4 linked regions of the Notamacropus eugenii genome follow. The protein of the gene in region 1 purifies or fractionates together with the protein of each later gene. This does not show direct contact. Links are inferred from orthologs where the notes say so. Each region holds a gene or a part of one and is shown on either strand. Other genes may lie near its edges.

The links.
Region 2: the proteins of RAF1 (region 1) and LRRC59 purify together in Homo sapiens (affinity purification with mass spectrometry; 3 studies listed by BioGRID and IntAct, with this or other methods). This does not show direct contact. The link is inferred for Notamacropus eugenii from reciprocal best matches to the Homo sapiens genes RAF1 and LRRC59.
Region 3: the proteins of RAF1 (region 1) and TIMM50 purify together in Homo sapiens (affinity purification with mass spectrometry; 4 studies listed by BioGRID and IntAct, with this or other methods). This does not show direct contact. The link is inferred for Notamacropus eugenii from reciprocal best matches to the Homo sapiens genes RAF1 and TIMM50.
Region 4: the proteins of RAF1 (region 1) and CDC25A purify together in Homo sapiens (affinity purification with western blotting; 3 studies listed by BioGRID and IntAct, with this or other methods). This does not show direct contact. The link is inferred for Notamacropus eugenii from reciprocal best matches to the Homo sapiens genes RAF1 and CDC25A.

What each region holds. Positions count from the first base shown.
Region 1 is NC_092874.1:432,306,411-432,313,542, reverse strand, and holds the start of RAF1 (RAF proto-oncogene serine/threonine-protein kinase), read right to left. Parts: upstream 3,004-7,132; 5' UTR 2,875-3,003; intron 1-2,874. UniProt on the Homo sapiens protein: Serine/threonine-protein kinase that acts as a regulatory link between the membrane-associated Ras GTPases and the MAPK/ERK cascade, and this critical regulatory link functions as a switch determining cell fate decisions including proliferation, differentiation, apoptosis, survival and oncogenic transformation.
Region 2 is NC_092873.1:360,388,777-360,395,660, reverse strand, and holds the start of LRRC59 (leucine-rich repeat-containing protein 59), read left to right. Parts: upstream 1-3,878; 5' UTR 3,879-4,269; coding exon 4,270-4,374; intron 4,375-5,796; coding exon 5,797-5,856; intron 5,857-6,884.
Region 3 is NC_092876.1:32,239,747-32,247,489, reverse strand, and holds the start of TIMM50 (mitochondrial import inner membrane translocase subunit TIM50), read right to left. Parts: upstream 3,023-7,743; 5' UTR 2,947-3,022; coding exon 2,791-2,946; intron 1-2,790. Other genes in the region: SUPT5H (transcription elongation factor SPT5), read right to left, coding at 4,078-4,221, 4,390-4,485, 4,763-4,966, 5,122-5,284, 5,777-5,935, 6,048-6,153, 6,352-6,479, 6,598-6,700 and 4 more. UniProt on the Homo sapiens protein: Essential component of the TIM23 complex, a complex that mediates the translocation of transit peptide-containing proteins across the mitochondrial inner membrane. Has some phosphatase activity in vitro; however such activity may not be relevant in vivo.
Region 4 is NC_092872.1:13,383,127-13,390,064, forward strand, and holds the start of CDC25A (M-phase inducer phosphatase 1), read right to left. Parts: upstream 3,009-6,938; 5' UTR 2,934-3,008; coding exon 2,776-2,933; intron 1,689-2,775; coding exon 1,612-1,688; intron 145-1,611; coding exon 102-144; intron 1-101. UniProt on the Homo sapiens protein: Tyrosine protein phosphatase which functions as a dosage-dependent inducer of mitotic progression. Directly dephosphorylates CDK1 and stimulates its kinase activity. Also dephosphorylates CDK2 in complex with cyclin-E, in vitro.

The sequences.
Region 1 (7,132 bases):
AGCAATTCAGTTTTTAAATCTGAAGACTTTTGCTTTGAAGATTTTCACTCCTATGAACAGAACTTTTGTAAGTCTATTTAAAACATTTTAATGTTTAAGCTTCTCAGTTATACCCTTTCCACACTTCCAATGACTGACAAATTAATCTACCATCTTTCAATAACAATCATTAGGATAAGAAATTTAAGTCCGCACTAAGGTATACAATGATGTTTAGCTAAAGACCTACTCCCAAGGTGTCTATAATACTGTTAAATGAAATCCACCTCAAGCAGTTTTTCTGCCATTAAATGATACATTACCAAAGTAAAATACTATGAGGCCATATAATTGCAAATCACACATAAAACTTAATCACACATAAAAATTATTCTGCTTAATTTCTTAATTTCTGCAGAAACAGCTTGTAATATTAACTGCATAGAATAGAGCTTTTTAAAAAATTTAAACAATCTATGATTCTATTTCATAAAGAGTAAAATTAAACCAAATTGAATTATTTCACTAGAACACAGATACTGAGTTGAGAGTTACAGGGGATAAAGATTAACAAAATTTTGCCTTCAAGAAACATAACTCCAGAAAGCTTTCAGATTCAAAGAAGCTTCAAGGAAAACAACTTAGGAGTGAAAATTCAATCTTTATATTTACCCTAATATTTAATACTCCAGATTTCATACTTTGTTTTAAACTACAAAAGCAATCAACTTCTGATATGAGTCTGAGGTTTCAATTATGAACCCAAATATTGTTGTTCTCCAGTGACCCAGTCCCTCCTAACCCTGAGTTATATTAAACCACACCCAGTAAACTTTTTTTTGGTGAATTTCGCAAAGATCTTCTATTTTAAATGTTAATTTGAGAGAATGCTCCGAGGTAGTGAAACATAAAATAGTTCCCTCCTGGAAAACACAAACATGTCTCCACTAACTGACAATGATAAACCCCTGTGTACCTAATTAGACAAGTTCTAAACAAAAACAGTAACAAGTCTATTCTCCCCTAGTATTAGCCTTCAAATGAAACAATTGTTTCCATTTCAAAACAACCCGACTAGCATTAGAGATATTAAATATCAGCCTCTGACTTAATTGTATATGCATTACATACCAAAACAGTATGACTTAGAAATTACTGTAATAAAGGAACATTGTCACCACAGTCAATACAAGAGCATTAGTGCTGTTCTAACAAACTTGTGGATATGAAAACCTTTTGTGTGTAAAAATGATTTTAATTAGAAAACGAATGCATTTCAAGGTTAAGAAAAAATTCAATTGCACACTTAACCTTGGATACGGCCACTATAACTCACTCAGACGTCATGGAATCACCTTTCTGATGTCATGGTCCTTCGTGAACCAAGGGCAAACAACATGGGTACTGTTATTGTTGTTAAGTGTGTGTTTCCAGGTGGGGGAGTTAACTGTCTTTTTCCAAGTTCTCTACCGTCCACAATCCTCAGATTTCATCTTGCATGTTTAGATGCTGCCCAACCGTTTCCAACATATACTAACATACACAACTAGAACACTAAAAATTAGTCTGAACTACATTTTACAATCTACCCTTTTGTTTTTAAGGCAACCTATAAAAAACAAGGCCTAAGAGAACATTACTCATTACTGCCTAAGTACAGAATACACAACCTGAAATCCCACGTAACCAAGTAACAAGGAAGAAACAACTAATATTGTTTTGCTATGATAAAAACCGCCATTTCAAAAGTTTACCAGTTTCAGCATGGAGAGCACAAAAGAAATCTGGTTCTCAAACAGAAAAGATAATTCTCATTTAAAGGGACAAACACTAAAATAAACTAATTTCCATAGGACCCCAGTCTATGTTTACCATACGCCGGGACTGCCCTATGCAGCTGGTCATACACCCAAGAATCTGCCCGTGTCCTGCTAACATTATGTCCACAAAAGGAAACTGACCAAGTGATGTATGAAATAAACGAGAAGGAATGGAGAAAGAATCTCTTCACGAAGAACGCAAAGCTTAGCTCACACTCCAGGACCAATGTTTCCCAAGCCTTTTGCAAATGAGTTTCTTACAACACCGCCTTCGCTTTAGAATAGCATTAATTTACTTACTTTCAGCAAAGTCAGCCCCAGTTCCTTTCTCCAAAAACTACCAAGCCCTCGATCCATTTTCACCAGGCAAAAGCATCCTCTTCAGCGCAAAAGAACACAGGTTCTCTTAACTATTCCACTCGCCCGACCACACGCACACAAGGAGAACTCAGGATTTTCTCCTCCTCCCCATTTTCACCCACCCGGCCCCCCCCCCAAATAAAAAACCCTGGGGAGAGAGGGGGGGACAGGACTGCTGAAGGGAGAGGCGCCGCCAGGAGCCCAGGGTCTCTCCCCGTCTCCAGCTGCACCGCAAAGGTCCCATTGCTCCTGACACCGACTTCGCTCTGGGAAGCCTTCCTCAGTGTTTACCAAAACTCGGGGCTGCCAGGCTGGCCTCGCACCCCGAGCCTCAGCGTCTGCCGACTCGCAGATGTCACTTCCCCGATCGCCTTCCCGGCCTCCACAGGGAGGAGGCGTCGGGGGTCCCTTCTACGCTCCAGATCTACGATGGCCCCCATCCCAGGGCCTCCGTTTCCTCATCGGGACGTAAGGGGGGAGGGTTTCTGGCATCTCTACATCTATGAACCACCCCCACTCCCGGCCTCAGTTTCCTCATCTGTGACGGGAAGGGCTCAGGGCCCTTTCCGGCGCTGCCCGGCCGAGGCTCGGCGGGCTGTGCCCGTCTCCCTTGGCCCGCGTTCCCCGGAAGGGCCGCGGCCTCCTCAGGCGAGGAGCCGCGCCGGGCCGGAGGCCCCGCTCTCGCCTGCCGGGCTGAGCCGGCTCGGCAGCCTACCTGCGGGGCCGGTGCGCGCCGCGTGCGTCCCGTCTCGCCCCGTCCCGTGCGTGCCCGCGGCCCGGGCCGAGGCGGCAGCGGCGGCGCGTCGAGTGCGCCCAGCGCCCAGGCCCGATCAGCGGCGGCGCGTCCCCAGCCCGGGGGAGGGGGCCCCGGGCGGCCCCCGCATCGTCCCCGGGCAGGGGCCCGCCCGCCGGCCGCCGCAGAGTCGAGGGCCCGGGCCGCCCGCCGCCGCCGTCCCGGCCCGGCCGAGCCCGTGGAGGGGCGCTCTCTGCCCGCCGCGGCGCCCACGCTCGCGCTCTCGCTCCGGCGCCCGCTCGCGCTCGCTTCCTCACTGCTGGCGGCGGCTCGCTGCCTCCATCTAAAATGGCGGCCTCAGCGTCCGCGACGAGGAGGCTCGGCGCTCCTCGGCCTAACCTGCGGCGCCTCCCCCGCGCCGCCCCCACCTACCGCGGCCCCCGCCGCCGGCACGGCCCAGGCGCCCATTCATCGGCTCCGGTATCGTTCCCTCTTCCCTGGCTCAGGCCCCGCCCCTGGAGGCGGGGCCTCGGCGCGCCTGCGGCCGCCATTTCGAACTGCTAGCGAGCGGGCGGGCGAGCGGGCGGGCGAGCGGGCGAGCCCCGGGACCGAGGCCGGGAACCGGGGACCGGGGCGCCCCGAGGGCCGAGGCCGGCAGCTCCCGCGGAGAGGATGGACCGCTGCGGGCCACGACGCCGCGGGGGTCCCAGGCGAGCTCCCTCCCCCGTAGACGGCGCCCTTTTTACAGCTGGGGAAACTGAGGCTCCGGGAAGGGCCGGGGGGCCGCACAGCTCCACGCGGAAAGCTGCGTGACCGCCGCGGTGACCGCAGCCATGCCGCTCTGTGCACGGCCCCTCTGCCCCTCGCAGCGAAGCTCACTTCCCGGAGGAGCACCCTGAGGCAGACGGGATGCTGACGGGCAGCGTCTACGCCACCCTTCGAGGCTTGCAGAGCGCTTAGTAGGTCGCCCCGTTGGACCTCGGCTCCCGCAAGGGAGGTGCTGTTACCCCGACTTCTCCGGCAGGGCAGCAGTCCCGGACGGTGGTGATCGCCGGCGCGTGCGCAGCCCTGGCGCGGACGGGACGGTGTCGGAGGCAGGCTTTGGACTCGGGTCTTCTGACTCCAAGGTCATCCTGGGGACGCCCAGCGGCCTCGGGCCACGTGCAGAGCTGAAGGGCCCCCAGCCTTTTACCGGGGAGAGGACACGAGGGGATTGGCACCCAGACCCTCTGACGCCGAAGACCCCAGTGTTCGCCTGTCCTGGCATACAGGACGTGCCCCCCGCCAGCCAGCCTGGGTGCAGCCGCACGCGTGGCCGCCGGACTTGGGCTGACCAGCTTGCCAGGACGGTCTGTTCTGGTATTTCTCGTAGAATTTGTTCCTGGACGTTATGAAAGACTCCAAGAACCAGGACTGTAGGGCCGTGCTTTTTTTAAGCCTCCTTTGAAGTCAGAGGGCCTAGGTTCAGTTCTCAGCCTTGGGACTCCCTGCCCGTGGGACTCTGAAACACCTCCTGCCTCCCTGTGAAATGCAGACCTCGGGCCAGGTAGCCCCCGAGGCCGCTTCTGGCTCCAAGTCTGTGAGGCTCCTTAAGCAGCCAGGGACCCTAGTGTGTAGAGAGAACACTGGGCCTGAATTCAAGGGCACCCGAGCTCTTCTCCTGTATCGCCAGCTCATCTCACTACTCCACACCTCAGTTTCCCCATCCAGAAGATGGGATAATAATACCACCCACCTCAGAGTGTTGTGAAGATTCAGTGAAAAAATATGTTCAAAATCCTTTGCAAATATAGATGCTACTAAATAATTATGTCTTTCCCAAGCCTTTAAGGAGTTTACAGTTTGGAGAAACAAATGTGAAGCAGCAGCTTTATCTCTGGCACTTCCCTTAATCTTTTCCTTTTCCTTACTCCCTGCCCCCCATGCTGAGGAGGTGATTTCTTCCTACTTAAATTTATCATGAGACTCCCTGGACCTCTTTTTTGCAATTAGTCATTCTCTCTTACAGTCATTTTTGTCTTTACACCCACATTTGGTTGTAAGCTCCTCAGGAGCAGGTTCAGTGACTTAGCTGTCTTTGTATCCCCAACAATTAGGAGTTAGCCTTGGACAAACGTTAGTTTGTTGTAAACTAAGGCTGTAATTGGCCTAATGTAGTAAAGGGGGGCTTCAGGGCAAGGGTGTGTCTTGAAAGTGAATGAGAAGACTGTTATCTTAGAGCCCTGTGTCACTTAGAGATTGAGGATCAGACCCTTCCCACCAAGACTAGCTATATGCATCCTATTTCCCTTTTCTGAGATTCACAATCCTAATTACTGATTGATGAATTAAGGAGGATGATATCTGTATTACTTACCTCACAGAGTTGTGGTTCAGATCTCTATTGAATTCAGGATATATACAGAACTTTGTAAATCTTAAAGGCTTTATAAACTTCAGTTGTTTTCTTGGAGAGCAGTGGGCACAGATGTTTAAAGGATTCTTCTTCCCCCCTTAAACTGATCCCCGCCCAGTTTTTGTGTTTTTTCTTTCCTGCCCAAAGCACTTTGAAGTTTCCAGGAGAATTGCCACCTGAATAGAGGCTGGGGCTGCTGCCAGTCTTAAAAGATTATTAGACAACACAGCTTAACCAGGCAGAGCTCCATAGGAAACATTGGGGTCAGTTGTGTGTAGGTGTCTGTTGCCCCAGGTGTGGCCTTATCTATTTACTGGGTGCGCCAGTCTGTCCCCTCCCTCCAAACTCTCCTTATGGTGCTGCTTCTTTTAATTTCCCATTTTAAAATACATAGGATTCTGTTTTTTCAGCAAATCCCTTTCCCATGCCTCATCTGCGTGCCCTGTTTTCTTCTCACCACACTATTTCCTTAAATCCAGTTCTCTGCCCAGGATCAGAAAATTTCATGTTTGGAAAGATCACCTTGTCCTACCAGCACCTGAAGAAAGATCCAATACACTTGGGGCATCTAGGTGGTCCAGTGGATAGGGTGCTAGCCTTGGAGTCAGGAAGATCTGAGTTTAAATCTAGGCTTAGACCCTTACTATGGGTGTGACCTTGGGCAAGTCACTTAACCCTGTTTGCCTCAGTTTCCTCATTTGGAAAATGAGCTAGAAAAGGAAATGACAAACCAGTATCTTTCCCACAAAAACTCCACATGGGATCACAAAGAGTTGGACATGACTGAAATGACTCAAATACAAACACCTGACAAGGGTGTTTTTCCTTAGAGACCTCAAGTGATGACCCACTACCTTCCAAGACAAGCCATTCAACTCTTGGATAGTTCCAGTGTGCTAGGAAAGTTTTCCTTAGGTCAAGCCTAAATCTGCTGTTTGCTCTCACTGTTATCTCAGTTGTCAAACAGAACAAGTCAATCAGTTAAGTGCTTATTGTGTGCCAGCTACTGTGGAATAAAAGACAAAAATGCCCTGTCCTCACACATTCATATACCATATGAATTCAACTATTTTCCAATAAGTTTGATATGGTGACTTTCTCTGTGCATATTCAGCCCCCCAGGGTCAAGTTCAGAGGGAAGAACGGAATGGTGGAAATGACCCAGGGAGGATTAGAAGGGCAAACCAAGATCTTTGAAGTCACTGGCAAAGAAGGGGTCAGGACTGGCAAGTGACACTGGCGATGGACTCTGTTTATTGAATGATTAACTGATTGGAAATCAGGGTGAAGACAGAAATCAGATGGAATGAGAAGGAATGAGAGAGAAGTAAGAAAAATGGCATTGGAATTAAGGAATAGCTTTGGAGTTTGGCATCTTGGGAGGTAGCACAGTCCCAGATAGTAGTGAAGTTTAAGGTGTAACTGCATTGCTTTGTGAATAAAGCGGATTGAGGACAGAAGATTGTATCATCAGACTTGTGAAGAAAGTTAAACAATACTTACTCATAAGTGAGAGGACCATATGACAGCAATGGATTCTGTTTTAGGAAGAAAGATGACCAGAAGAGGCAGCAGGGTAGAGATATAGGGTTATGGGCGTAGACCTAGGAAGGACATCAGAGACCACATTGTATGATTTCTTTCATCCTCTACACTGACCCCATTTTTATAGATTAGTACGTTGAGGCCCAGGGAAGTTAAGTAACTTGTATAAAGTCACAAAGATCAGAGGTAGGATTTGAACCCAAGTCCTCTGACTCCGCAATTGCATCTTTCCACTGAAAGCCAAGGTTATAAGTGTGGCTCTGCAACTTGTATGACCTTATATCTGTCACCTGTGCTCTC
Region 2 (6,884 bases), on another chromosome or scaffold:
TCCTTACTAGAAAGGATATGGGAGTGCAGGGAACCAGAACAATATACAGTTTTAACACAGATACTTACTAGCCATGTGACCCTGAACAAGTCATTTGACTGCTGTCTGCTTCCTTTTTCTCATGGAAGGCAATGGAGGTAATGATAGCACCCACCTCCCAGGGTGGTTGTGAGGCTAAAATAATAGTTGTAAAGCATTTTGCAAACTTGAAAGCACAATATAAATGCTAGCAGCTACTATAACTACTCCTCCTACCACCACCACCGCTACTCCTACTACTACCACCACCACCACTATACTACTACTACTGCTTTCAAAACTGTCCCATATGGCTTTGCTTCCTTCTGAAGTTCTTTCTGTTCTCTTTTTTGTAATTAAAAAATTTTTCAATGAGTATTTTTTTAACTAATATTTTTAACCTCCCCTCCCCAATCCCTAACTAGGAGAAAAAAAAATAAACAAGAGTCGGAGGAGAGTACTTTGTAACAACTAAAAATAATCAAGCAAAAAGGAATCCACACTGGAGCCATGTACCTAAAATGCATATCTCTTTGTTCATCTGGTGGTATCATTTCTCTGATGGTATGGTCTTCTTTGAAAACAAAGGACAAACACAACAACATCTGGTCTCCCCACCTCAAGCCTCTCTCTTCTGCAATAAGACTATTTTGTGTTGTCCAAGATCACCTAACTAGGAGGCACCACATGAAAGATACCAGGGACCTGCTTCTGGGAGAAGAAATAATTAATTCCCCTACTATATGGATGGGAACAGTGTGTTTCCACAGGCTGTATCTTTAAAAGGAAGAGGATGTGTTCTCTCTGCCTCTGTCTTTCTCTGTCTCTTTCCCCCATTTTCTCCCTCCCTCTCTCTCCTTCCTACCCCTGATCTGTCTCTCTTTCTCTCCTTCCCCTTCCTCCCTCCTTCTTTTCTTCTCTCTTTTCCCTTTCTGGCACTGTATAAGGCAGAGAGGTGCTATACATCCTCAGCACGGAGCTGCGGGCCGGGGTGGGGGTAAGAACCACCCTCCTTTTCCCATGAAGGGCTTTATTCTGTTTCATTTGTTCTTTTCAGTTCTAGGTACAAGAAGTGGAGTCTCCAGATCTGGACTTGAGCCACAGTGATCCTGGAGGATAAGATTCCAAGCTAGATGTTATTGCTAACTTAGCAGAGAAGCCCTGAAGAAGCCAGGTGACTGGGACTTGAGCCCAAGGGATGCTTTGAACTTGGAATTTGGTGGGACTCTGCTATATAGGAAATGAGCTAAGTTGTGAACCTCCTCCCCTTCTTCTCTTTAGAGATTGAGGTGGTATTGGGGAGAGGGAGGAGGAAGAGAATGTTTTCCATGTTTGTTCTTGCTATATTTTTAAAGCAAACACTCCTTCCTAAAAGCAAATCCAACTATTAACTGATTAAATGGAACTGGAGTGCCAAACACCCCCTAAAATTGGGAAAACCTCATTGGTGGGGGATTGAGCCAATGGCAGAAAGACCAGACACTTCCCAAACTACTTAAGGGTACCAGAGAACCCTGGGGGGAAAGATGAAATGTAGCACACTTGGTCTTCAGGCAGTGGGCCAGAATAGGCACTGTAATGCTTCCAAATATATTTTCCACCTAGCAACCAAAAGAGATTTTCTTAAGTGTGGATCTGATCATATTATCTCCCTCCTCGGTGAAATCCAGTGGCTTCCTATTGTCTTTACAATAACATGCATGCTATTCTGTTTGACCCTTTGCAAGCTGGGCCTATCTTTTCAGTCTCTTGTCCATGACTTCTGTTCTCCAGATAAACTTACCTTTTTGCTCTTCCTCACACTGGCCACTCCATCTTTAATCTCTGTTGCCTTGGCACCAGCTGACCTGCGTGACCAGAACTACTTCCTCCTCACCTCCACCTTCCAGATAGTCTCTGATTTTGTTCATGATTCAGCCTTGCAGAATTCCTTACAACAGCAGCAGCTAGATGACATAGGGGTTTTGAACTTGGCACATTGGAAGACTGATGGTGCCTTCGTCAGAAATAGGGAAATTTGGAAGAAGCAGGGCAGGGCAGTTTGCTCATTTCTAAAACAGGAATAATCATATTACACAACCTTCAGAGGTGGTGGTGATTATTTATTCATCTGTGTGAAACAAAATGAGAATGGTATCTTTTGAATCAGAGAAAAACGTTTCAAAGAGCGATGATTTGGATTGTGTATGCATCTCACAAGGTGCTGTCAAGTGGATAAAGATCTGACTGAAGAAACTGGGTCCAAGAGATCCATTGGACACTTTCTGTGTGACCCTAGACAAGTCACCTAACCTCTTAGTTCTCTGAGCCACCCCATAAAAAGGTGAGGATCAGTATTAGTAGAGAGTTTCCAACAACAATAATTAATAATAGCTTACATTTATATGGCATTTGAAGGTTTGCAAAGTGCTCTACAAATATTTCATTTTAGAGGAGGGGAATGGGAAGGGAATAAGCATTTATTTAGTATATTCTGTGCTGGGATGCTTTACAAATATTTTATCATTTAATCCTCACAAACACCCTGGGGGGGGGTGTAGGTGCTATTATTATTCCCATTTTGTAGAAGAGCAAACTGAAGGAGACAGAGATTAAGTGACTTGTCCAAGGTCCCACAGCTGGTAAGTATCAAAGGTCAAATTTGAACTTCAGATCAGATTTTTCTGAGTCCAAGCCTATCTATATGCTGAATCATCAAGTTGCCTAATCAATGATGCCTCAGATCTACTATATACATGCATACATTGTATGTAAGAAGGATTTTGTTATCTTTTTTAGAGTTCAGTTTCTCAGGATCCATGGGCATGGCAATGTCTAGTTTCCAGGTGTTTGACAATAATTCCCAGAATAATTCCAATGATTTAAGATAGCCATTCCCAGAATCACAGTGACAGTCCCACCGAGGCTGTGCGGTGGGGTAAGGAGTGACATAATATAATATTTACTATGCTTGCGCAGAATGACGATATTGCTGGTTAACCTGTGAGCTTAATGCTGGCAAGATGCCTTCTTTGTTGCCGTATAAAGCAACTGGGCACTGATCAGTGAGTGGGGGGGGGGGGGGGCCGAACCACTGGTAATGCATAGAGGAATGAGGTAGGAATACCTTCCTCAACCAGCTCCCATTGAAGTTTGAGGAGATTTAGAGGAATGCACAAACTGTGCCTTTCTCAATTTATGCCATGGAGAGGTAGGGCTAGTTGCCCCCTCTTCTTGCAGACCTCTTGGAGAAGGGTGATTGGGGAATGCTGCAGGAGCTGGTTCTCCCATTATCATCAACCTTTAGGAGAAGACTAGACTAGGATAAAGCTGATTAGTAACCCCTCTGAAGCTGTCTGCCTGTCTGACCAGATCCAGAGTAAACCTGTTAGAAGCTGGATTCCAAAGACCTCCAGTGCCTCCTGTATGTTACCTGTGACACATACATATGTGTGTGTATGGATATATACAGTCTATACAGTGGATCTGATGTAAATTGTGTACATGCAGAGTTAAATACTGTGTATATGGTGTGAAGCTATGTATACAAATAGTGGATCTGTGTACGTGTATATTCACGTATGTATTGTGTATGTGTGTGCATGTGGATTTCTATCTGTATCTGTAGACGTTATACAGTCTCTTTCCTGAAATACCTGGAGAACAGGGACAGTTCCATTTTTGTACTTTTATCCCCAGTGCCTACTACAGTGCCTGGCACACAGAAGGCGCTTAATAAATGCTGACTCATTGACTACACGGTTCAGGGTCTAATACGTTCGCGTGCACAACCTCCAACCCTCTTGCTTAGAGCGCAGACTGTTTTTCCACGCGCACCGCGGGAGCCTCCGCAGCACTAGGGGGCGGCATCGCGCTCACTCGCGCATGCGCTAGCCTCTCTAGCCCCCCTCCACCCGAGGCGCCTCGGTGTCTCCCGGAGGGAAGACGTGGACACGGAAGTGGCTGGCGGCCGCAGTGACGGAGGCGGGAACTGGATCGCGGAGTACCGCAACTGGCCGCGGAATCCTGGACGGAGGGTAGCGGGGGCAGCGCCAGGCCCGCGGGTACGAGGAGGTCGGAAGGGCAGGAACGTGGCGGGGGTCCGGGCCTCAGGCTTCTGAGGCTGTTATCGCCAAACGGATCCCTGGCCGTTAAACGGCCGTCGCGCGGAACCTTGCGGAGTGCCCGGGCGCGTGCCCGCCGCCGGAAGCCGCCCCCTCCCCCTGCCGAGCCCTCGCGCGCCCCCCTCCACTCCCCACATCTCCCGGAGCCATGGCCAAGAGCGGAGGCAAGGGGGCCAGCCTGCGCGACAAGCTGGACGGCAACGAGCTGGACCTGAGCCTGGGCGACCTCACCGAGGTGCCGGTCAAGGAGCTGGTCAGTGTGGGCGCCGTCCTGGGCCCGAGGGGGAGCAGGGTCTGGGAACCGGGGCCCTGGACTGGACACGTGTCATTCTGGGGGGGAATGGAGCCCCGCTACTAGCCGGGGCCGCGGAGGCCCCGCTTCCAGGCCCATCCCGGCGTCTTAGGCGATGCCCCTTCCCCCACCCCCGGGCCTCAGTTTCCTTCTCTGTGAAATGAGGGGCCGAGACGCGAAGATAGTGTCCGGCGCTGACCTCAGGTTCAGCCGATCCGAGGCGTAAGAGAAGCGGGGCGCCTGCTGTCTCTTTCTTAGGCCTGGAGGAGTAGGCCTTCCTGGAGACCTGGGTGTGGCTGAGGATTGGTGACAATTGGGAATTCTGCAATCCCAGCTGCTCGAAGTCGCCCAGAGCCATTGCTTGTGCTGGAAAAGTTGGGCTGAACTGGTGGGTCCGTCTCGAACATGTGGAAAGTGGATTGAACCCTAGAATGTTAGGACAGCCAGAGACCTTGGGGATCAGGCTATTCATTTTTACAGAGGAGGAGTTTGAAACCCCAAGAGGGGCAGTGGCGTGCCCAAAGGTTAGGATGCACACATTGGGGAAGGAGTATTCGACCTAAAACACCGGGGTTCAACTCTTGGCCCTACCACTTGTTAACATTATGATCTTGGGCAAGTCACTTTCCATTTCTGGACGTCATTTTCCTCATCTGTAGACTGAGTGGATCAAGACTAAATAAATGATGCCCCCAGAGTCCCTTCCAGCTGCAGTTTTTTGGTTCCTGTCTTATCTCTGGTCTTATTCTCAAATTCTTTCAACTCAAAACCAAATGGAGTTGGGTTTCCTGTGTTTAGCAAGGCATATTGGACAGGAATTCTTAATGGCAGTTAGATATATTTGGGGGGGGGGGTCATAAACTTGGATGGAAAAAATATATTCACTAACCTTTCATGGAAATTTAGTGTTTCCTTCCATTTTGAATTTTGGAAAACAGAAAAAAACAACTTTATTCTGAGAAATGGTCCATAGGCTTCATCTGATCGCCAAAGGTGTGGGCCAAAAAAAGTTAAAAAAAAAAACCAAAAAAACAAAAATAAAGCAACCCTGCTCTAGTCAGAAGGGGTGGTTCTGAAGACTTTTTAAGATGGATCTAGTATTGCTCTGAAGCCCTAAGTACTATTCTAGTATCCAAATTTTCCTTTGCTACATGCCCTGTGGCCACACTTTGTTCTTTCTATACTTTCATAAGTAACTGATGGCTGGCCTCAGTTTTTGCTCTATTTTTTGAACCCTGTCATCATTTCATTCTTGTTTTGTGCTTTTTAATCTATTCCGACTCCTCTACTTTAGAAGATATTCCATTAGCAAACAGATGTCACCAAGTATAATAACCTCTGACCAAATATGGATTTTACCTTTCTCCTCTGCTCTTTTCCTAGGCTGCTCTTCCAAAGGCCACAGTACTGGATCTCTCCTGCAACAAACTTACTTCGTTACCGGTAAGATGTGGTTCTCCTCCAAGTACCTGGGGGGATGTCCTTGCTCCAGGCTGGGGGACATGCCATGAGCATGAATCCGTAGGAGAGCCAATGGCTCTAATCAAATATATGGAGGCTAGTAGTTGTTATTAGGAGGAGCGATCAATAAGGACAGTCTTAATTTAAAATTATTTTACTGAATTTTTATAATGTGTAAGACCCTATGGTATATGCTGTGGGGGATACAATGAAATACATTTCTATCTTCATGGAAATTAAAGTCTAGTAGGGGAAATAAGATGACACAAATTAATCAAGAAAATAATCAAGCATAATCAGAAAACTGTATAGTGCTATAGAAGCTTAGAGAAAGGAGAAATTACTTCTGGTTTGGGTGATGTGGACTGAATGAATAAAGCATGTAAAGCACTGTGTTATGGCTGGGATACAGACAGAATAATCAAACTTCTACTCTAAAGAAGCTCACATTCTGATGGGGAAGACACATGGAAGGTTTTAACTGCTAATTGAATGAAAAAGTCCGTGGTCCTTAGGGTGCAGTAGCAAAGCAGATGGTAATGGCTCTTTAATATCATTTCCACCAGTAAAACGTTTGAGGAGGTAGAATTTGCGTTAGGTCTTGCATGGTGGCCAGGTCGAAGGTAGAGGAAATGATACTTCAAGTAAGAGTAAACAGCACATGCATAAAAAGCAAGAAGTTTTAGGCCATGTTTAGGGAAAGGAGAGTAGAGTTATTTTGCTAGTGTGGAGTGTATGTACACCTATATGTGTAGTAGGTATGAAATCTCAGAGGAGCTCAGTGTTCATGTATTTATCCCTGGCAGTAGAGACTGATGGTGGAAGAGTAGGGGTGGTAGGGCCAGCAGAGGGTGTCTGTTGAGATAACTTAGGTCATCAAAGCTGCTAATTTGAGAATGGGAACAGATAACTAGTTCCTCTTCTGGGCAGATCCAGCAGAAGCCATGAGTCAAAGCCATTCTTGGGAACTGGGTGAGAAACCAAGAGAAGCAGAAGGGGTATGAAGTCAT
Region 3 (7,743 bases), on another chromosome or scaffold:
AACCTGTGGTCTCTGAGTCCCAGTTTGAATTCAGTCAAAGGGCCACCCTTGAGGAGCTAGAAGGCCACATGTGGCCTGGAGGTGGCAGGCTCCATAGTCCCAGACTGGGAAGTGCCAAGGGGACCAGATACTGGCAGACCAAGAGGCTCACTTGCCCAAGGTCACAGATGGGGCATGGCAGGGCCAGGATTCAAACTCAGTCACCAATCCAGTTGGACCCCAGGGTGGGTAACCACAACACCCAATCCAAAAAGCAAATTGGAAAAGAAGCTTATAAAACATACCTAGAGACCATGCCCTGTGACCCAAAGGTGGCAGTGCCAGGCCCCTACTACAAAGAGGTCACTGATGACAAGGAAAGCTCCACCCCCCCCCACATGCCAAGGGTCACCTTAGGTAAAAACAAAGAACTGGCAACAAACACAGAGTGTGGAAGGCATAGCAGAAGGTGCTCCCTCCCTGCCCCATATCAGCCTTTCCTAGGGCCTGGCCCTGGCCCAGACCAGGGGGCTCCTGTGACTAAGGAAGTCGAGAGGACACACCCACCACAGAAATAACCAAATAACCCCAAGCTTCACGGATGACCCATGCCAGAGAAGGACAGGCACCCAGGGGTGCCACCAGGAGGGTGTGACTTTGGTGCAAACTGCTCCCTTTCCTTTTTCTGTTTGTTCTCCCTTTCCAAGGATAAGTCAAGGGGTAGGGGGGTAGAGATATACTTATACAGGAGATGTTGTAAAAACCAAAGAACTGCATAACAAAAATTGTAAAAATAAAGGCAGAAATAAGCATTGACTAAATGCCTACTGTGTGCTGAGCACCCTACTAAGTACTTAAGTGGTCAACACTTGCAGAGCATAATTATGTGCCAAGCCCAGTGCTGGGCATTTTACAAGTGTCTTCTTTGATTTTCAAACAACCCTGGGGAGACGTGCTGTTATTATCCCGATTTTACAGATGAGGAAACCGAGGCAAGAAGTGGTTAAGCATCTGAGGCTGGATTTCAACTCCTGCAAGCCCAGGTCTGGGATCTGTGCACCACGGTGCTCCCTAGCAGCCCCTAACACAACAACAGCGTCAACTGACATTCAGGAATGATGACAAGTCTTCAGAGACATTAGTTCACTGGAGCATCACACCCCTGTGCTGCTACCTGTTCTAGAGGGATTACTAGACCCTCATTTTACAGACGAGGTAACTGAGGCCAGCATGTGGCCAGGCTCACCACCAATACCTGCCAATGGCCACAGGTCTCAGAGTCCCATCAAAAGCCAGATGCCTGGCCCCTGAAGGGTAGGCGGCCGGGTGTGGGGGTGGCCAGAGCTCATTTGTGCCCCTCTCACCCCTCACCTGGATCACTGCAACCCTTCTCTCCCCAATCCAGGCTTCCTCTGGCACCCCAGAACAAGACTGGAAGGAATACTTAATACCCTTCACAGCCTGGCTCCCAGAACCTCTCCAGGATTATACATCCTTCCCCCATAACAAGCTACAGTTTCAGCAATCTGGCTGCTCTTCAGTCTCCAGCCTCCAAGCCTTTGCCTAGGCTGTGCTTGTCATGCATTCCATTCTCATCTCCTCCAAAGACTCCCTAGCCTGTTTAATTGCCTTCTTCTGGATCTTCTCCCTGATGCCCCACCCCCCACCTATTTCTCTCTGCCACATCCACTGGTACAGAAAGACCACGTTTCCCCACAAGCTGCTGCTGCTGAGTTGAGGATTTGTCTCTGGAGCCCTGGGAGCTGAGCTCCTGAGGCGCTGGGCCTGGGGGGGTCAGAGGGCTGGGTCCAGGCACTGGGGACTCTAAAGGACGTTAGGAATGGGGGACCCAGATAATGGAAGTCTGGAAGAAAGTGTGCGTTTGGGAGCAAAGGTCGCCTGGGTGGTCCCAGGGACAGAAGCAGAGACCTGGGTCCTGTCGTGAAGGGGCAGGGGGACGTTTGAGTCCCTGGAGGTTCCAGGGGCTGGGGATGTGGGAATATGTGGCTTTGATGGTAGCAAGAAGCAAGGGATCCAGATGGGCCTGGGGCCCCTGTGGGGAGTAGAAGGGAGCCTGGAGATCAGGACACCAGGGACACTGGGGGAAGGGGAGGGAGCCTGGGGATCAGGACACCAGGGACACTGGGGGAAGGGGAGGGAGCCTGGGGATTGGAACACTGAGGGAGAGGGAGGGAGCCTGGGGATCGGGACACCAGGGACACTGGGGGAGGGGGAGGGAGCCTGGGGATCGGGACACCTGGGACACTGGGGGAGGGGGAGGGAGCCTGGGGATCGGGACACCTGGGACACTGGGGGAGGGGGAGGGAGCCTGGGGATCGGGACACCAGGGACACTGGGGGAGGGGGAGGGAGCCTGGGGATCGGGACACCAGGGACACTGGGGGAGGGGGAGGGAGCCTGGGGATCGGGACACCAGGGACACTGGGGGAGGGGGAGGGAGCCTGGGGATCGGGACACCAGGGACACTGGGGGAGGGGGAGGGAGCCTGGGGATCGGGACACCAGGGACACTGGGGGAGGGGGAGGGAGCCTGGGGATCGGGACACCAGGGACACTGGGGAAGGGGGCTCTGGGTAACCGGACGTGGGGTGCCTGGGGGCGGGGCTAGCAACTAGGTCCCGGGTTCCACGTGGGAGCCCGCCACACAAGGGTGCAAGACCAAGGGGGGGGGGCTGAATTTAGAACCTGGAGAACCCACCACCCAACGTGGGCTCGCGTCACACCTCCTCCTCCCTCCGCAGCCCCCCAGACCCCCTCCCCGTCCGCTCCCCGCGCGCACGCGCACTGCTCACCTGTCCTGGGCCGCGCGGCGGAGTTGCCATCCGCGCGCATAAGGACCTGGGCAAGGGTACGAGCCCGAGCTGGGGCCGCAGCCGCAACCGCAGTCGCAGCCAGTGCCAGCCCTGCAGGCGTGAGGGCAGCGCCACAGTCGCCACAGAGGCCGCCATCTTGCTCGGACGCTACCGCCGCCGCCGCCGAGCCCCGCCCCGTTCGGCCCTCTCCCACGGGGCCCGACCAATGAGTGCACGGAGCGGGGCTCGCGCTTCTAGCCAATGAAGAAACAAAGTTACTGTTTTTCCCGCCCCTTTCAAGAACAGCCAATGGACTTCGGCGAGAGCTGAGACCTCAGCCAACGAGAGGAGGTTGTCTTCTGCATTTCTCCCCTCCCCCCAATTTCGGCATCTCTTCGCCCACCCCCAAACACCTGAGCGTCTAGAAGTCAAGCGCCGGTCATGACGGGGCCCAGAGAGGGTCAAAAAAGCTTCTTGCGGCCGAAGCCAGCCGACACACGTGCTCTCAGCCCTCCCGCGCCTCAGCAGGGGGTAGGATAGTGGAGGGCTTGGGGGGTCCTGGGGTGGATGGAGCGGGGCAGACCGCGCAGCTTTGGGTGAATGATCCCAATCCCCGGGGGCTGAGATCCCGAGGGAAGCCGGAGGGTGCAGGGCAGCCCTGGGGTCACCCATGGTCAGAAGGCATGACTTGGAGATGGAGGGGTGCCCAGTTGGAACCCTAGGGGGAAGGGAGGCCGCCCCACAGAGAGCAAAGGCCTGGGGACTTGACCACCGAGAGACCCATGGTCAGGGCGGTCACTGGGAGCATTTCAGGCGAGGGTCCGGAAAGGGGGGGCCCCCTGCTGCTTGGCCCCAAGGAGCGCGCAGGATCCCGGACCCCAGGGGAGCCAGGGGAGCCTGCCAGGTGCCCAGCGCGCTCCGTCTGTCTGGGGAAGCAGAGCAGAGGGCGAGGGCGGGAGGCGCTCAGCCGTCTGACTTTCCCCCTCTGCTGGCTTGGTCAGAACCTGTCTCCCCCCAGCCCAGTCCCCACCTCAGGATCCCTTCACAGCTGAGAAGGACACCACTGATCAAACAATCTTTTATTCAAAGATCACAGACAAAGCAAGCTGGTTGGGGTGGGCTAGAGCTGGGAAACGTCTCCGTGGACAGCCCTGCAGGTGGTTAGAGAATCTTCAAAAAGCAACCAACAAAAATAGACCAGCCAAGTTCTCCCAGCTCCCTGCCTGGGGAGAATCGTGGGGATGGGGTGGGGTGGGGGTGGGTGAGGAGGCCCCTCCACCTCTCCTTCTAGGCTTCCAAGAGCTTCCCTAGAAACCGGAGATTGAGGATCTTGAGCTGCTCGTCCAGGTCCATCCGCACAATGCCATCCTCCCCATCGATGCTCAGCAGGTCCCCTGTGGCCTCCCGGTCCTCCCCTAGGATCACCTTCACCTGGACAAGAGAAGAAGAGGCTGGATCCCACCTTCAGCGAGGTGCTAGGGCAAGAGGGACCCCCCTTTGGAGAGGAGAGCCGAAGTGCTTTCTTCCGACCCCAGCTGCTACCCCAGCAGTTCTGCCCTCTCACGCCACCCTCTCCAAGCACCCCCTAGACCCCCTCACCTTGTTGCTCTTGGTAGGAGTGATGGGCTCAAGATGCTCACTGGAGATGCTGACCACCTTCTCACTGTCCTTCAAATACACAGAGCACATACCCCCCTAGGGGATAGGGATAATCAGTCCCCATACCAGGACCCTAAAGCCACTCCAACTCAAGCACTCAGCACCAGTCACCAGGCTTACTTCAAGCCATCTGATTTCCACCCCCACCAAAGCCCCAGGTGTCCAGGCCCCCAGGCCTAGCACCAGAGAGCCAACCTCCTCACCTCCCACCAGCTGCTGCCCAGAAAAAGAAGACAAAGCCCTTCCCTGCCTCATCAGGTGAAGAGCTGGGGTTAGTTCACCTCAGGCCCTTCTGTGCATCTCCCCTACATACCGTAACACTTCGGATGACGCCTGTCTGCCCAACCACCTGGCTGTCCAAGTAGGTGTCTCGAACCTTCACCTGGATGTCTGTGGTCACCCAGTCACTGGAGTTCTGCTCAATACCAGAGCCTGGTGTATGAGGGTTGTAGCCACCTGGGGATGGTGCCCCAGGGGTCATTGGACTATAGCCCACTGGACTAGGGCTAGGACTAGCCTAGGGTTAAAAAGGAAAGAAGGGTCAGTTATGGTGATCATCCCATTCACTAAACACTTTTTAAGCACCTGTGTGCTAAGCCCCGACCACATGGTCATGTTCTCAGCCCTCTCAGCCCACCCAGCCCTAGTCTCCCCAAGGTCTCTGCTCAGCACCTGGTAAGCCATGGGCGAGGGTGTGGGGTGGTAGCTGGCTGGGGAGTGGGTGTTCTGGTAGCCAGCAGGACTCGGCGCCACCTGGTGGTAACTCTGGGGGCTGGGCTGGTAGGAACCTTGTGGCGAGGGGGCCGCATAGGGTGAAAACTGGTCCGTGTTGTACCTGAGGGAGAGGCCAGGGAGTATAGGGACAGAAGGAACCCACAGCTCCCACCTCGGTCCAAGGCCATGAAGGGTCAGAACAGGGCAAGGGATGCTTCCAGGGAGGGCAGGAAGGGGGTGGGCAGCAGCTTGGCCTGAGGGATGGGACTGATCTCTAAGCTCCCTCACATCAGGGGTTTCCCACTCAAATTCCATGCTTGAGGATTCCTACAGCCCCACACTGACTGACTCTAAACTGTAACCTAAGTTACCTATGTCTTCTTGCATTTTCATTTACGTTCTTAAACGTTTCTTAATGACACTTTAATCTGGTTTGGGCCCATGGGAGACCAACACCCCTGCCTTACACCTCGATGAGTCTAGGGAGAAGAGTCCCCTGGAGACAAGTCAGGGAGGGGAAGGCACCTTAGAGAAGTGATTCAAGGCCATGGAGTGGAGGAAAACCTGGAGATTTGGAAAAGCAGCCAAGGGGGGCGGCCCCATCAGCACTTACATGGCAGGGGTTCCAGGAGTCTGGGGGTTGTACTGTGCATTGACCTGTGGCGATGAGGGATCAGGATAGCCTGGTGTCTGGGGGTTGGGGGTCCCACCATAGGCTTGTGGGGATGGGGTAGGCTCATCATCAAAGGCATACTCATACTCTTCCTCTGCCCTGCATGGGAGGAGAAAACAAGATGGCTGGTGAGGGAAAATACTCACCCCCACTGCAGAGCCATCTCAGACCCTCCCCATGACCAAGTCCCCTGACATGGCCCTGTCCTTACCTGGATGGTGTGTTGGGGTTGTTGGGGTCCCAGGCACCACTCTGGGCTGGTGTACGGCTGCCATCATGAAGGGGAGTCTGGGAACCATAGTGTGGAGTGCGGCTGCCTGCACAAGAGGAAGACAGGGCCATGGGATCCCAGCCGCTTAGTCTGCATCAGCCTGAAGGGCTGTCCTCATCACCGACTCCCAGAAGAATATGTGCGTGTGTACACACGCACACAAACCGACACACACACACATTCTTTCCTTTTCCTCACACACTATTCCTCAGCCCTTGGATAGCCCCAGGATGAGGAGACTCACCATCATGCAGAGGCGTCTGTGAACTGTACATGGGAGTACGGGAGCCTTGGACATACATTGGTGTCTGAGAGCCATACATCGGAGTACGTCCATAGGCTGAAGTCATGCCCCCTGGACGTCTGGTGCCACTGCAGGGAAACACGGGAGGGCAGAGTGAGAAGAAAAGACAGATAGTGTATGGACAAAGGGGACGGTGAGGCACAATGGATTCCTCCCAGCCCCAAAACACCTTCCCCTTCTACTAACACTGTGGTGAGCCGCAGGCGATCCACAGAAATGGTCTGGCAGGTCGAGTGAAGCTCCACTCGGGCTGTGGACTCAGTGGCATCCTTCACCACCCCAATATAGCCTGGGCAAAGAAGGCACAGGAAGGGTTGGGGGCCATCCACGCTCAGCATCTTCAAGAGCCCTACATTATCCATTCCTCCTCAACACCAGCCCAGACTCACCTTTATATGGACCCTGAGAGATGCGAACAGTCTGCCCAATAAGGTCATTATCTCTACGGCCCCGGCCACGGCTCATGCCACCAGCACCAGCACTCCCAAATCCTCCCCGCTGACCTATAAGATCATAATGGCAGGAAGGGAGAGGTCAAAAGTGTGGGAGATCCCCAGTAACCTCCTTCCTGACTCGCCTCTCTTCAGCCATCACCCTGTCCTGGTCCCAGGCCCCTTTCCCAGGTTCTGTTTGGTCTGAGTCTCTTCCCCAAGCCAGGGCTTCCCAGATTTCCATCCCTCCCCACCTCCCTGCTCACCTCCAGCACTAGGGTGCATGGGGCTGCTGATTCGAGGGCTCATTGGGGCAAAGCCACCCACGGTGAAGTTTGTGACATCTCGAGGCTGGGAGAGAAAAATGAGAGGGCAGTAAGCAGTGAGGAGAGAGGATGCCCCACCCCTGCCTTCCTCCCCCTCTCCCCCAGGTCACAGGCTCTGCACACTTTGGAGAATTCTATGAAATGGGGGTTTTTATAATTACTTCTCAAAGATGGTCCCCTGCCCCCACCCCCCTGCAACCAGCTGGCCCCCAACCTGACCTACTTTGGAGCCCCCAGCCAGCACCAAGTTTCGGGTCTTGCAGACAAACATGCCCCCATTTTCCACCAGCTTCTTGCAGTGGAGAAATGCAAATCCTCGGTACAGATGCCTGATCTCTCCTTCTCTGCCCTAAGGAGAAAGACAGAGTGAATATGCCTCTAGGGTTCTACTCTTGCCCCTCAAGCTTTCTCCCTTCCCCACCAGCTCAGCCCAAACTCCACTTCCCTTGCCAGTGCACCACCTCCATCCTTACCGAATGGGGACCATCGATGACCTTCACAATGTCCTTGACGTGAATGTTGTTTTGTTCTGAATCCAAGGCCACAGCAAAGCGGTTATCCTTCTTCCGAGTCAC
Region 4 (6,938 bases), on another chromosome or scaffold:
TTCACGTGGGACATCTTAGTCCAGATTCCTAGTCAATCAGGATTCTAATAATATTCTCATTTGGTATTTAAAAAAAAAAATTAAAAGAAGCAAATACATACTTTTCTTTTCTATCCAGGGGCCCAGGAGAATCCAGACAAAAACCTATTGGGGCACAAAAAAAGTCTTTACTACACGGCCATTGTGATCCAGAGGTTTTGTAAATTGTTTTTATAGCTTAATTTCTTTTATTATTAACTCTAAACATCTCATTTGAAATCATTTCAAACTTTTAAGAAGCCAGTGGGCTACCCCAGGAACTTCAGGGTGAACATGGTTTGTAATTACCTGAGACTCAGTATCTGTTTTTTGAGGCAATCAGCCTACAGTGACGGACTCCAGATTGGTTCAGGTTGTATGTGTGTATGGAGTGGGGTGTGTGGCGGCACTTTACATGGATTCTGACATAAAAGCTAGTGTTCATATAGGGCATGTTATCCCACAACCCTGGGAGGTAAGTGCTATTATTATCACCTCCATTTTACAAATAAGATACTGAGGCAGACAGAGGTTAAGTGACTTGTTCAAGGTCATCTGAGGTCAGACTTGAATTCAGGTCTTCCTGACCCCAGGTCCAGAGCTCTATTTACTTTACCAATCTAGCTGCCTTTGAAGGAGACATAATGCTTCCCTCTGCTCTGGAGTTACCATCAGTGAAATAAGACTTAAGGGAAAAGTAGGCTAGATGAATTGTTAAACCATCTTCTGAGTATTCAGGTAGGGATTATCTGGTTTATGGTTAATATCCATGTCATCTCCCTCTCAGATGGCAAGTACTTGATCAGCCCTGCTGCAAGTAGACTGCATCTGGTCAAAAGGCACCAATCTCTAATTCAGATCAATTTATCCATGGGTAACAGGAACAAATACAAATTAGAGCCACTGCGAAGAGATCTGGTAGGTTTCTGACTTATGTTTAAGAAAATGGCACCTAACAAGGAATTCTTGCTCCCCAAAGACAGAAGATCTTAGAGGTTTAATATAATTTATATACCAACCTCGGAGTAGCCTGGACTCACCAGCCCCCAGGCAACTTTTATTTTCTGGGCATTCAGTCACAATGGAATCTGCATACTACTTACCCTCAAACCATTTTTCACTTCCCTCTTCTCCTTCCAAGTGGTAAGAGATAACCATGCACACTGGAAATCTGAAGAGAATCAAACTTTCCTCCAGGTACTCTTCTACATACCCCCCCACTTCAACCAAATGAACCACTTACTATTCCCAGGACCTGTCTTGTCCTTTCCTACCTTCCTTTAACATTCAACAAGCCTCTGATTACACCATTCATTCCCTTTGTCTGGAGGGTCACTCTACTCCAATCTCCATTTATTCCTACTGAAAATTAACCTGTTTTCAGACACTGCAATAATTCATATTATACTATTTCTATGGCACTTATCACATACTGTCTTACCTTTCAATTACTTATGTACATGTGCCTCCTGTATTAAATTAGAAGCTTCATGAAAAAGAGGGGCTTGTTGTATCTCGTCTCCTTCCCAAGGCCTCCCCCAGCACAGTGGGCACATACAACAAATATCTGTTATGCGTAGAATGAAAGAATACCTGAATCTGTAGACTCTGAGGAGCTTGTCCGCTGCAGGCTGCCGCTCTTCTTTGTTTCCAGCTGATGCTCACATTCACTGCACACAAAACCAAACCATTCTTTACATGCAGTTTTGGAATCTGATAAGAACAACTCCTCTTCTCCACGGACTATGAGTCACCGTGAGACAGAGGGAAAACATCAAGCTATTTAACAGCTTTTTGGCCCTACCTGCTGTCCCACAAGGACCACCTCCCGCAACCACAACTCCTCTCCAGCACAGCACCTAAGGCCCGGTGGGATTCAAAGCTCTTAATGCCACCCAGGCCCCCGGCCCTCCACCTCCAGAAGGAGTACCTCCTTACTCTTGTGGGGTTGCATGCTTATTTGAGGGAAATTCAGAACAAGGTTACAATGGAAACTAGTATTCCAGAAACTGAAAGGAGTCCAAGGCAAGGAAGCAAGAGGGTGGTGTGGCTAAGGAGGGACAAGCCTTCTGTTCAGCCTCCTCCCAAGCATCTCTCAGACCTACTGGGGCGCTGCGGAACCACCCAGGCCCCTGGCAACATGGAGGCCAGGGGCCGAGCCTGGGCCACAGGCAAGGTGCTGTGGCTAACTTAGCCATGTGCCTAAAAGACGGAAACGGAAGGCTCCCCCTGGAGACCCTGCTCAAGGCCTGTAGAGAGAGGGGTGGGGAGGCTTTAGAGCATGGGAAAGCTGGGGGAGCCGAGAGCTGGCGGAGATGGAGGTATGAGGGAGGCGGTGAGAAGGAGCCGGAACGAGGAGGCGGTGGTGATGGGGAAGGCTGGAGGGGGCAGTGGAGTGAAGGAAAGGGGAGCAGGATGGGGGGTTGGAGAAGAATGGACGTTGTTGGGGGGACTGTGGAGTCTGAAGTATGGTGCACACTGCGGGGAGAAGGAAGAGGGAAGGAAGGTGGGGTAAAGGACAGGAGGCTGGAAATCAGCCCATTGTAGGGAGGGGTGGTTATGAGGAGCAGGAGGGCAGGTGCGACGGGGCAGAACGTATGTGCCGCATAGGTTCGGAGCCCGGACTGGGCGATGAGCCGGCCCAGCGAGACCCAGGAGGGGCAGTGACTTGGCCAAGGTCACTCCCCGGGGGCGCTGCCCAGGAATGACGGGGCCGGGGGGGCTCCGGGAGGGCCCAGGCCGCCCCGCCTCTCTCACCTGCCCAGGCCCCGCAGCTGGTCCATGGTGACCGCCAGGTTGGTGACCGGGGACAGCCCCCCGGGGCCGGCGGGGAACAGGGCCTTGACCACGGCGGGCGGAGAGCCGCAGGCGAAGTGGAGGCGGCGGCGGTGCGGGGGCTCCGGGCCCAGCTCCATCCGGAGCAGCGGCGGCGGCGCCGCCTCTCTTCTCTCCTCGCCCCGCGCCGCGCCGCCCCCACCGCCTCCCGGAGCGCGGGCCCGGCCCGCGGTCAAACACAAACACGGCCCGAGGGCAGGCCGCGAGCGATGCCCACGCCGGGGGTTCCGGGGCCGCGCCAAGCCGAGGGTTAAACCCAAACAAGCCGGGCGGGCGCAGGGCCGGCGGACCTCGGGCCGGGGGCGCGGGCCCGATCGGCCCAGACGCGGCGGCGGCGGCGGCGGCGGAGAGCGGGGAGCGGGACCGCGGCAGCCCCCGGCGGACCTCCTGCCCAGCTGCCCGGGGGTGTCGCAGGAGCCGCTCGCAGAGTACCGCTGCTGCCCCGCCCACCTTTCCTAGTTGGCGCCAAACCCAAGCCACCAATCAGAAAACGGGACCTCCGTTCCACCCCCTGAACGGCAGCCGAGCTTAACCAATAAAAATTCAAGGAGGGGAGACTGTCGGAGACCCGCTCCGTCACTAAGCCTCTCTAGAGGAGGCGGGGCCAAAGTCGAGAAGCGGAAGTAGGGGTGGGGGAAGGGCGAACAAGGAGAAGGAGAATGAGATCCAATGTGTGGAAGCGGCGGCTCCCAGCATGCCACGCAAGCTAGCCAAAGGAACCGCCCAGTCCGGCGGAACTGACGCTGCATTCTGGGAGTTGTAGTTCCTCGTGGCCGCTAGCTTGGATTTCTCTTTTTTCTCTCTACGCCTCCCTGGCAGCCTAGAAGTTTAATTTCCACATTGGCCCGAGGATGTTTTGCTCTTGGATGACCATAAGATGGCTGTAAAGATGAGGGGTGGGGGCATCTCTTGCTTTGGTCACTGGCTCTGCTGTCAGAAGCATGTGGGCCTTGGAGCCCACAGGGAGGAGCCTTCTCCCCTGCCCCCAGCAGCCTGGCAGCTGAAGAAGTACTCAGCCATGCTTTGGATAAAGACAAAGTTCTAACAAAGTGGGGGAGTCCCTGGAGACCCCCAGAAAACAAGCCCAAGGAATGCCTGAGCTGGAGGAGGCCTGGGCCCTTTGGCCAAGGGCAGGCAGAAAGCCACTTGTAGGACAAAAGCCAGCTCTGGGCCTGCGTTTCCACACTCTAGAGGTTTTGAATAAAATGTGGAGTCCAGAGGGACCTCATAATGTAGTGGAGTCAACCCCGGCTTTGGCTCTCAGCACCCAAGTCAGAATCTGGCTCTGCCACTTAACTGTCAGCGTTGAGTCAACAAACAGTTCTTTATCAAGGACCTCAGGCTGGGCGTTGGAGTCAGGAGGGCCTGGGTTCAGATCTGCACTTGGAAACTTAGTAGTCGTGTGACCCTGGGCAGTTATCCTCTGTTTGCCTTAGTCCACTAGAGGATAACATGGCAAACCACTCCAGTATCCTTGCCAGGAATGTGTGGCATTGTTGCGTTATGGTCCGCAGGCTCACTAAGAGTTGGGCATGACTAACAACGTGTGCCAGGCATTGTGTTAAGTGCCTGAGATACAAAGGAAGGTAAAAGACAATCTCTGCTTGAGCCCTCAAGCAGCTCAATTTAAAGGTAGAGACAATGTACAGCATATGCAAATAAGAAACGCTGGATAAGTTGTAGATGATACCAGAGGGAAAGTATTAGATCAAGGAGGGCTTCATGCAAATGGTGGGGTTTTAGGTGAAGCTTGAAGGAAGCCCGGAGGTGGAGACTAGGACAAAGAGAGTTCCAGACCTGGACACAATCAGTGAAAATGACTGAGTTTTATGAGAGGAACAGTAAGGAAGCCAGTGTCAATGGATCACAGAATATATGGAGAGGAGTATGATGAAAGAAAACTAGAAAAACAGGAAGAGGCCAGGTTATCAAGGGGTTTAAGAGCCAAACAGAAGATTTTATATTTGATCTTGGAGGTGATAGGGAAGCGCGGGAATTTATTAAATTGGATGTATATGTGTGTATGGAGGGAGGAGGGGTATGATCAGAATTGTTCTTCAGGAAGTTTTCTTTGGAAGTTGAATGGAGGATGAAAAGTGAGGCAGGGAGACCAACCAGCAGGGCACTGCAATAGTTCAGGCATGAGGTAATGAGGGTTTTCACCAGGGTGGTGCTAATGTGGGTTTTAGAGGTTCAGGGACCCCTCAAGGACTGAAGTACCCGAAAGGGTCATCTAGAATGAATTCATGGACTCAAGCATTCTTTAAGTCAAGTTGACAAAGGTTTATTGTAATGCCAATATGGTAGGCAGAGCTCCTTAAGGAACTAACTCCGCAACTTAACAGGAGTGAGCTAAAGCTTATTTAGGAAAAGTAGTGGATTATCTGGCAGAAAGTGATAACATACAACCTTGGTCACAGGAGTCATTCATTACTGGATACTAGAGGAAGGAGTTTCTAGGAGGTGTATTTTTGGTCTATTGTGTCTGTGGCAAGATAGCTTTGAGAGTTGATGTCTATAGCTTGATCTCTGGATTGTATATGATAACTGTGGGAATCAATACATGATAATTCTGTGGTTACAAGAGAGTCCTGTTTTTACAAGGGAATTTCTTCAGAGGTCAGCTTGTTCTTGTAATGGGGAAAGATAGTTTGTCTTACTGGGGCCCACCCATGAGTAATTGAGGGGAAAGGTAGTTTGTCTTAGGTGGGCCCACTCAAGAAAACTGTCAGGGATAGTGTTTTGAAACTAGGGAGAAATGTGATCTTGAATTTGGGGTCCAAGCACAAGCACCTCATCAGTGTCAGTGTCAGAGGACAGAAGGGGATATACAAGAGACCATAAAGGTAAAATCAGTAAAAATAGGAGTTGGCAACAGATTGAATATAGAATGAGAGAGAGAGGGAGAGAGGGAGAGAGGGAGAGAGGGAGAGAGGGAGAGAGGGAGAGAGGGAGGGAGAGAGAGAGAGAGAGAGAGAGAGAGAGAGAGAGAGAGAGAGAGAGAGAGAGGAGTAACAATAACACCTAGGTTGTTTGTGAGCTGGAGTGATTGGGAAGATGGTAGTAGCAGTAAACTTTAAAGTAATAGGGTAGTAACAGTAATTTATAGAAATAGGAAAGTTAGGAAAAGGGGAAGGTTTTAGAAAAAAGGCAACAAGTTCATTTTTAGACATGTTGAGTTTAAGTTATCTACAGGACATCTAGATGTCCAACAGGCAGAGAAATCATTTCTCTGATGGCATGGTCTCCGACAATGAAGGACAAACACACTGTAGAAATGAGAGACTAGAAGTCAGGACAGCGCTTAGGGCTGCATAAGTAAATCTAAGAATCATCTGCATAGAGACAATTGAATCTATGGGAGCTGATGAGATCTTTAAGAGAAATAGTGTAGAGAGAAGAGGACTCAGTTTAGAGCCTTGGGAGATATCTAGCTATTGGGCAAAACAAAAAAAATAATAAAAATTCATTAAAAAAAAATAAAACCTGATAGGAGGAGAAGGGAGGGAGGGGAAAAATCTAAGATATATGGAAGTGATTGTAGAACACTGAAAACAAATAAAATAATAAAAAAATAAAAAATAAAACCTTCGTTTTACATGATGAGTTTAGGGTGTTTAAGGAATATCTAGTTCAAGATGTGATCAGATAATTACAAAGGTTTTTCTAGCTCTTAATCCTATGATCCTATTAATTTAAGATCAGAGGGATAGTAAAGTAAAAGTAAAGATAAAAGTAAACTTTTATCTAGCTTCTACTATGGAAATGGTGTTGCCTTAAAGTCATCTAGTCTAGTAGTTCCTATTTCCCATTTAGTGGTTTGTGATGATGGTCCCAGGTGTAAAACAAAATCTTTAATATCACCTTAAGCAGTTAGTAATTGCCCAGTTGTGTTGCAAATATATTTTTTCCTTTGTGATAACATATATGTGCATGTTTGAAACATTATGGGTTTGTTTTTATAGCAATTAGAAACTATCATGTCAAATCCCAAAGACTCAACTAAAGAAGTAATTGAAACAATGAACAATTTTGGCAAAGTAACAAGTTCTAAAGTAAATCCATGTAAATCATCAGCATTCCTA